Linked DNA regions of Drosophila melanogaster. The protein of the gene in region 2 interacts with the protein of the main gene of each other region in a pairwise test. Each region holds a gene or a part of one and is shown on either strand. Other genes may lie near its edges.

Region 1 (5,089 bases), on a different chromosome or scaffold from region 2:
ATACATAATTATTTAAATAAATAAATAAAAACAAAACCAACGTGTTTTCTAAAGCTGGGTAAGCATATTGATTGAAGTAGGTGGGTATTTAAATGAAAACAATAACTTCATTGTTTTAAATATTAATTATGTGGAAATTTCCCAATGCTGACATGTTCTCCAAGCTCGTGAACCAGATTAACTCCCAAATTGGGCGACAAAGGATGCGCTGCCTAAAAATAGGAGCACACAAAAAGTGTAGCATACTATCCAGCGCACTAAACTGCGCACTTGGTCTGCATACATAAATACCAATTGGGGCGCAGACAGCGTGCAAACAGGGTAATGGAAATAGAAACCCGTCTGCGGTGGGGAGCCTACGCTTATGTCAGACAAGTGGGGGAGCACCAGGCGCCTATTTACCACACACACACACACACTTGCCACACCTGATTAAAATCTATTGACAATGCAGGCGACGCGAAATTGGAGCGGCGCTAACAAGGCTCCACAAAGGAATCGATGGCCCCTGCGACGGAACAGGACCAAAGCCGCCCGGCAACCAGCACTTAATGAAACCCAATTACCGCAGGTGTCCGCCAGGCAAATCCTGGCGGCGGATGGCAAACAATAACAGCTGCTGCCGCAGCACCTGCAAATTTTATTTGCATTTTCCTGCCATTCTAACACCTCCCAACTTTTTCCCAGGGGTATATTGGTTTCTATTAGAAACTTGCTATTCAAATAGTTGGTGTTCTACAAATTTTATAGATTTAAATTGCGAGTTCCACTCGTATGTATACTTGATATGTGCTAACATATTTAAAAATCGATTTGAAAAATGCATAATTGTAAGTCCCTGCATTCCTGGTAACTCTGAGGTCTCAACTCGCAGTCAACGAAAAATCACTTGTTTATTGTTATCAACTTCGATGCCATTTCCCGGCAAGGACATGCGCAAACACCCCCACTTCCGCCCACATCACTTGGCCATCATCCCCTCTGCGACACCAAGGATTAGGGAAAGGAAAAGCAGAAGGGACACATCTCCGAGTGGAGCAGAGTGGCGTATAAATACCACGCAGCTCGTGCGCACAGCCTCAGTTGGCGGACCGTGTTGCTCGCGATTCCCTTTTCCCAGTCGCTGCGTCCGCAGGTGAGAGTTCATCCGGGAAACGGCCAACTGTTGCCAGTTGCACTCGGCGGGTGGCGCGCTGCAGGGAGCAGTATAACGGCCCCAATTACTGCCCCAACTGCAGCAAATTACGGGTGTGAATTTGATTAATTGCCTTGAAAAGCGATTGTGAGCAGAGCAGAAGTGACTGTAAGCCGGGGATTTGATATAACGACTTGTATGTAAAGTTGACCCCATTTCCGCTTTAATTGGCCATAACAACACAAAGTAAGTAGTGCTCTTCGTACGATTTGTACTATAAGTAAAGTTATTGCTACTTCCGAAAGCATGGTAGTATTTAAAGTATTATTTTGGAATTCTAGTTCCACATTCAAGGACAATCTATCATATACAATACAAATCTTTAGAATATGCGATTTATAATTATACAGCATAAAAGCGATGCCAAACTACAGTAAAAATGTTATGCTAACATATCATATCCAAGATTATATTATGTTTCATCAATCTGGCCAGTTAAATATACAAATGTATAAAATGTGAAAAAAACATATAACCTTAAAATCACTGGTGTAACGGTGTTTCAATCCTTCTACTGCACACACTGCACTTACCCCTATTTCCAACACTGTCGTGCAGAGGAGCCCCAATCGAGTGGCACTGGGGGTGAGTGCTGGCGAGAACAAAACTGGTTGCCAGTCGGGTCGGCGGCTGGTCAATCATATGGCGAGAATAGTGGTTAAAGCCACCCCTGGCGTGGCAGCTTTATCGGGGGTTGCATGTGGTGTTGGGATTGCACGGTGTGCCGAGTGTATCCGATTCCGACTTCTATTCCGAATCCGAATCGGCGGACCTGGTCTCGAATTCGGAAACGCAATCGGTGGCTCGCGCACAGTCAGTCTGCAAACTTCGGAGCGTGCGGTTGTCAAGTTTCGGTCGTCTGCGTGTTTTCTCTTTCCCGATTTCAGCACTCTTCCCGCACACACACACACAGCACTCGCCACACACACACACACACACGGACGCAGACACAGGAAGAAGAGTGAGAGAGGGTGGAGCGGAGAGGAGGCGACTTTCGCTCGAATTTCTCGCTTGTTGTTATTGCTGCTGCCTGCTGCTGTTGCCGTTGTTGCTGTGGCCGTAGTGTATATACCCACTGTGTGACTCCACAGTGTGCGTGTGTTTTTTCCTGAAAGTTCGAATTCTCTTTTTCCGCCTGCTTGAATCAGACTCGGGTTCGGATTCAGAATCGAAATCGATAGTCACCAACCAACTAACCAGCCAGCCAACTAACCAATCAACCAACCAAAGTCACCATGGCCGACAACAATAACTGCCCAAAGTGCAAAAAATCGATCGCCGCCAAGGAGGCCACGAGCATCGGGTGCAGCGGCGAGGACTGCCGGAGAAGGTACCACCGCACGTGCGTCAACATCGACGACGCGGTCTTCGAGGCGATCCAGAAGAACTCGATGATATCCTTTCACTGCGACGAGTGCAAAAACCAGTCGCCACGAGCCTTCGCGGCCAAGCTGCACACCATCGAGGAAAAGGTCAATAAGGTGTGCAACGGGGTCAACCAGATCCAGGGCCGTATGTACCAGCAGTACTTCCAGTTTGGCAACCAGCCGCTTCAGGCATTGGGCGCCTCGGCCGCCGGCGTGGGTGGCGGCGGCCTGGGTGGCGGACTGGACGGGAAGAAGCATCCGCAGCAGAACAACCTCATTGTGGTAGGAAACAATTGTAACTCCGACCGACTGCAAGTGGTCTGCGACTACGGGCGCTGGGTGCAGGTGGGCAAGTTCGCCACGAACACCAGCGAGGAGGACGTGATCGATCACCTGGCCGAGGAGCTGAAGATCAACAAGAACCTGGTCAAGTGCACCAAGCTGGTGAAGAACGATGCCAACCTGTCGCAGTTGTCGTACTGCAAGTTCAAGATCTCCATTCCGGACTACCGCTTCAACGAGCTCTTCAACGAGGCCATCTGGCCCAGCGGCGTGATGGTCAGTCCCTTCACTCCGCGCTCCCAGCTCAACCAGAATCGCCTCTAGAGGAACGGGCCCGGCAGCCGGGAGAGCGGTGACCGGGCGAGGGTGAAGCAGGAGCATAGGACAGGCTGAGCAGGATGAGGAGGATGAGCAGCTGGAGAGCAGGTAGCCAAGGGAGAGAGTGCGCCTGCGCAGGGAGCGGATGAATGATTACGAGCAGCAGCAGCAGGAGGAGGAGGAAGAGGAGGAACTGCATCGCGGCCTGGCAAACAAGGGTTGCTATACGGACTGCAGCACACCGCGGATTCCCCCGAGTGCGCCGACTTGGGCTGATTGATGGAGCAGCAGACGGAGGAGCAACTATGTGCCCCCATTGTATGCTAATTTTCGACACTCGAAAACATTGTCTAGATCTTTAAAAGCTTACAGAACCTATCTAATGGAAAACCAAGAGCATATTTATTGAATTAACTTTGAAAATGCATTTTAAAATGTTTTAGCGTTGCGTAAATAACGAAATGAAATCGATAAAGAAAACCAAAAGTATTTTAATGGCAAACTCACAAGTAAAATAGATGTGAAGCAAAAAATATTAGTCATTTATGCATTACTGTCGTACTTAAATTAAAGTAAACCGAAAACAAAACGAGAAAACTAAGGAAACCAACTAAACGTACTTAAAGAGACACTCACACACACACACACACACACACACACACCGAAAGCGGTTATTCAGGCGCGTATTTAAACCATTTACCAATCAAACATTCAACCCAGTCAATCCAGGCACCGAGGTTCTCCCTTCATCTTCATTTTCCAACTCACTTCCGGGGTGTGGGGATCCTACGGATCGACCAGACCTACGGAGATTCTACTACGACGCGTGTGCGACTACCTATCACATTAAGTACTTAACCGTAACCAATATCAAAACCTATATTCAAGCAGACGACGGCTTATATTGTATTCGTATATGTATGTAGTTTGAGGCATTTTCAAAGCTTGTTCCTGTTCCCAAAGACGTTTGGACATTTTGCGAACCACTGCACAGGACACTGGCCAGCAGCTAGACCCATTCAGATTCAGATCGAAAGTATATATATATATGCATTTGCGTTTTCGACGGCCGGCACTCCCAGTTGGGATGTCCGCCGGCCCGGATGGCAGTTATCACAGTTACCACACACGTTCCACACGGACAGGACTAGAGACGAAACTAGAGGAAACGAAGCTGGGCAAATCCGTTGCAATAATAACTCACTGACCGAGTATAATGGATGTACATTTCGTAATTGATCTATTTTTTTACACCGATCCGACAGCAATATTTTCCGTGGACTCCACGCCAGCGATCCGAACAGAACCGTAGATATTTACGCAAGAGTCAGCAAACGAAATGTAAAACACATATATTATATATTTAGTATACAACAATATGCATGCATGTATTTATGTCAACTTTTTCAATAAATTCTACAAAACTTAAATACCAAACAACCATTCGAGGGGATTGATCTTTGGGTCATCTATGGGCAGATCTGTAAGGATAACGTTTACTATACTTGCAAAGGACGTGTTCTTTCGCATTCTTTACAGATTCAAGATTCAGCAGAATGGCCAACTCCAAGCGAAAGCTGCCCACGAAACCCAGTGCCACAGAGGACGCTACTCCGCACAAAGATACACCTAGGTCGTCGGAAGAATTCCCCACAGATGTAAATCACAAGAGTGCCAAGAAGTCCTTCCTTCCTCAAAACGCATTCTTTCGAGATTGCCTCGGTCACGATCTGAGCAACTTCACTAGCCTGACCAACTTTACCAGCTGGCTAAACAGACCCGTAGATGGAGCTGCCCTGGGCATCTTCCGTCTGCTCTACGGAGCAGCCATGCTGATTGACATCGCAGAGGAGCGAGGTGGCGGCCAGCTGGACGTGCGGTTTCAGGAGCCGCTACACTGCCACTTTCCACTGTTCAACGGGATGCG
Region 2 (3,386 bases):
ATTAGCCGTTACCAGTTCTTCGGGCACACATATTTAATAACGTGTGCCATTGTTTTTCATTGTCGTTTTATGTGCTGTTTATATTTTTATGGCATGCCATATAGTATTTAATATTTATATTATATATGAGTCGCATGCGACATTCATTCCCGTTCTATCATGTCTACGATAAAACAGTTTTATTCCTTTCCACTACAGGAAACTTTTGGGGACAGCGAACTTCTTCACCAGGTGGAAAAGCTGGAAAAGTTGAATAGGCTACCTCCACCTCCTTGAACTGAAATCAAACTACTTGAGGAGTCAGCCACCGCTTCGTGTTTGCAGTTATTATTGTCTATAAATCGTTGGAAGGTCTCCGATAGGAGCTGTGGGGCATTATACACGATGACATTATGAATTTATTACTATTTAAATATTTTACTTTTGTTATGGCCCTGGCAGGCGACGATGGGCCGCAATAATCGTTCTGACATTTGTTTTCCCTGGCGTGCGTAACTATTTACCAGTTCGCTCCGGTAACTTCGTCTCCGAAAGTCCAGGGGGTGACCCAGGCACCGGTATATAGTTTGAGTAGGTCATGAATTATCGATGCTGTCAGCAGTAAATATTGATAAAATATATGAGGCAAAGTTCTGGCACGTAGGCATCAACTTTGGTAGCTGCCTCTATTACCATAATTAAATAATTCGGGCAGTTAGCCGACTTAAACGGTTCCGCTTAAAACTCATGCATAAATATATACATATATATACATACATCAGCAAATTACCCGAATGTCACTTTAATTGTTAATCAGCTAGACACATCTGTGCCACAAATTAATCTGCAAACCAGTTTAGTTTGATCGCACGGACTTGAGATTTTGAGAGTCATCTGAATATTTGGACTTTGATAACCGCACTTGACTTCAGACTTTGGAAAAAACCAACAAAACAATAAAAATAGGTAGGAGAACAACTGACAAAGTTAAAACAGGTTTGACGAATCAGACGTTCGTCATTAATTTTATCATGTAATATCAGACTTATTTCAAAAAAAGGGTCTATTAACAAAATTATTTAATTATTAATAATGGCATTAGAATCACCAAGAAATAATTTGTTGCGGTAATGAGGTAGCCTTATTAATATGAGACAAATTTTATAATGGTGGTATTAATAGATATATTTTGGTTATAAGGGTTATATATAGGGAATGAAGAAATATATTTAAGCGCAGACCTTATATAAGGCTTACAAATAATTCGAGCATCTCATGGCCTCCGTTAACTTATATTAAATTTTAAGTGTTACTAAAAATTTTTGTAAGTAATATAAAATGTTGCTTTTATATTCTATTCTCTAAAACTCCCCTATCATGCTTTGCATGCACTTTGTTTTAACACCTCCATAAAAATCAACGTTAGATTGTATTTCAAGTTTAAGGTTTTGGAGTTACGTGTATTGTTAAATCAAATTAGTTGACGTTGACGCTTCGCTGGGCACTCTGACCCTTGGGAAGTACAACACACTTTTAATCGGTGGAAAATCTGAAACTACAATTAGCACTTACATTATGGCTTTGAAGCGATTTTAGCCTAATAATAAGCCCGAGTCTGGGGCATTAGGGCCAATTATAGGTACAATGGAAAGCCGCAGTGAACTTGCTTCATTTACTGATTCGAGTATCTGTTGAACTTTAAACCGAAATGGTAAAAAAAAGTGAGTCAGTTTCGGGTTATCAACAAGATCGGAGAGGGTTTAAGTAAACTAACCGGTGTATTGCCGTGTGTATGTGTAATAATTGCTTATACAGTGTGATCAGCGGAGTAGAGCGAAAACAAAAAGCGATAATCAAAACAAAACTCTGACGAAGCTGCATGCAAAATCGTATAAAAGGCAGATGCTAACAGAATAAATTCAACAGTTTCGATACCAAAGGGTTTCCAACAACATCTCTACCGAAAATGAAGTTCCTGATTGTCCTCTCCGTCATTTTGGCCATTTCGGCTGCTGTGAGTTACAAATAGTTTCTGATTTAAAGGGGTAGTATTGCTAAGTGTATCTTTTGAATATATCTTATAGGAGCTGCAACTATCCGATGAGCAGAAGGCTGTGGCCCATGCCAATGGCGCCCTTTGTGCCCAGCAGGAGGGAATCACCAAGGATCAGGCGATCGCCTTGCGAAACGGCAATTTCGATGACAGTGACCCCAAGGTGAAATGCTTCGCCAATTGTTTCTTGGAGAAAATCGGATTCCTGATCAATGGTGAGGTCCAGCCCGATGTCGTTCTGGCCAAGTTGGGACCCCTGGCCGGCGAGGATGCCGTGAAGGCCGTTCAGGCCAAGTGTGATGCCACCAAGGGAGCGGATAAGTGCGATACTGCCTATCAGCTATTCGAGTGCTACTACAAGAATCGCGCCCACATCTAAGCGCCAAATCTCCGATATTCTCCTGTGTGATAATCTGTCTGTGACTTGTTACTTATATTGTTTTAATTCAGTATATCAATTCGTAAACAAAATTTTTAGATCTGTAAATGTTTTGAATAATAAACTCAAGAATATATTTCGTTTTTAAAAAAAAACTTGACAAGAAACCTTTGCGAGACTATGTTCCAAATAGAAGATCATGCTTAAAGCTTTTACATAACTCTCCTAGAATCTCACTTGGCATTTGTTAATATTTTAAATATTAATGTTAAACGTTTGATCAAATAACTTTTTAGCTGTCCAACAAAAACTTAAAGGAACCTTCCAGGAAAATAACTTACGTAAACCCCTAACAGAGAACGCCTTTTATTGTGTCTCAAAGGAAATTAAGGTGAAATTCTTATACATAATTACTTATGCATATTCGACTTGTCAATGGATGCTCCACTGTATGACCCATTTGCGTTTTGGCCGCGTACCCATTTGCATAACAGTGGGCCGTCATTAAGGACCAACCACTGTCAGACCGTCGTCAGGGGCTTAAGTCCCTGGTACAGAGCGGCGATCCCAGAGGCATTTGGCCGCTCATGTTTGGCATAAATATTGATGAGCGACGGCAAACTTATTGGCACAAAGACCTGGGATCCCGGCGATACAGGATGCGTTGGGGTTCGAGCAAATGAATTGGACACGGGGAGCCGTGTTTTTAAAAGCCCAAATCCAATTAACAAATCATTAAACATTCATTGAGCACGTGTCGCAATTGCATTTACTGGTTCAACATGGATCAGGTGGCATCGGAGGGAACAATTGTTCCGACTTTGGCTTTGACTTTGGCTTTTGGGGAGTTTGGATCGCAGCCAGGGTCCATAATTCATTTTGTCACTTCCTGGGGTCGGTCTGGCTGTAATGTCACTTCCATTTAGCATCCGTTTCAGTTGCAGTTGTCTGCACAAGAGCTGATGGCCGATGGCC

The links.
Region 1: the proteins of Obp56d (region 2) and CG13928 interact in a two-hybrid assay, tested with the Drosophila melanogaster proteins (one large-scale study listed by BioGRID).

What each region holds. Positions count from the first base shown.
Region 1 is NT_037436.4:1,625,291-1,630,379, reverse strand, and holds CG13928 (uncharacterized protein), read left to right. Parts: upstream 1-2,002; 5' UTR 2,003-2,430; coding exon 2,431-3,168; 3' UTR 3,169-4,589; downstream 4,590-5,089. Other genes in the region: GC (gamma-glutamyl carboxylase), read left to right, coding at 4,719-5,089.
Region 2 is NT_033778.4:19,702,310-19,705,695, reverse strand, and holds Obp56d (Odorant-binding protein 56d), read left to right. Parts: upstream 1-1,780; 5' UTR 1,781-1,945; coding exon 1,946-1,993; intron 1,994-2,063; coding exon 2,064-2,411; 3' UTR 2,412-2,772; downstream 2,773-3,386.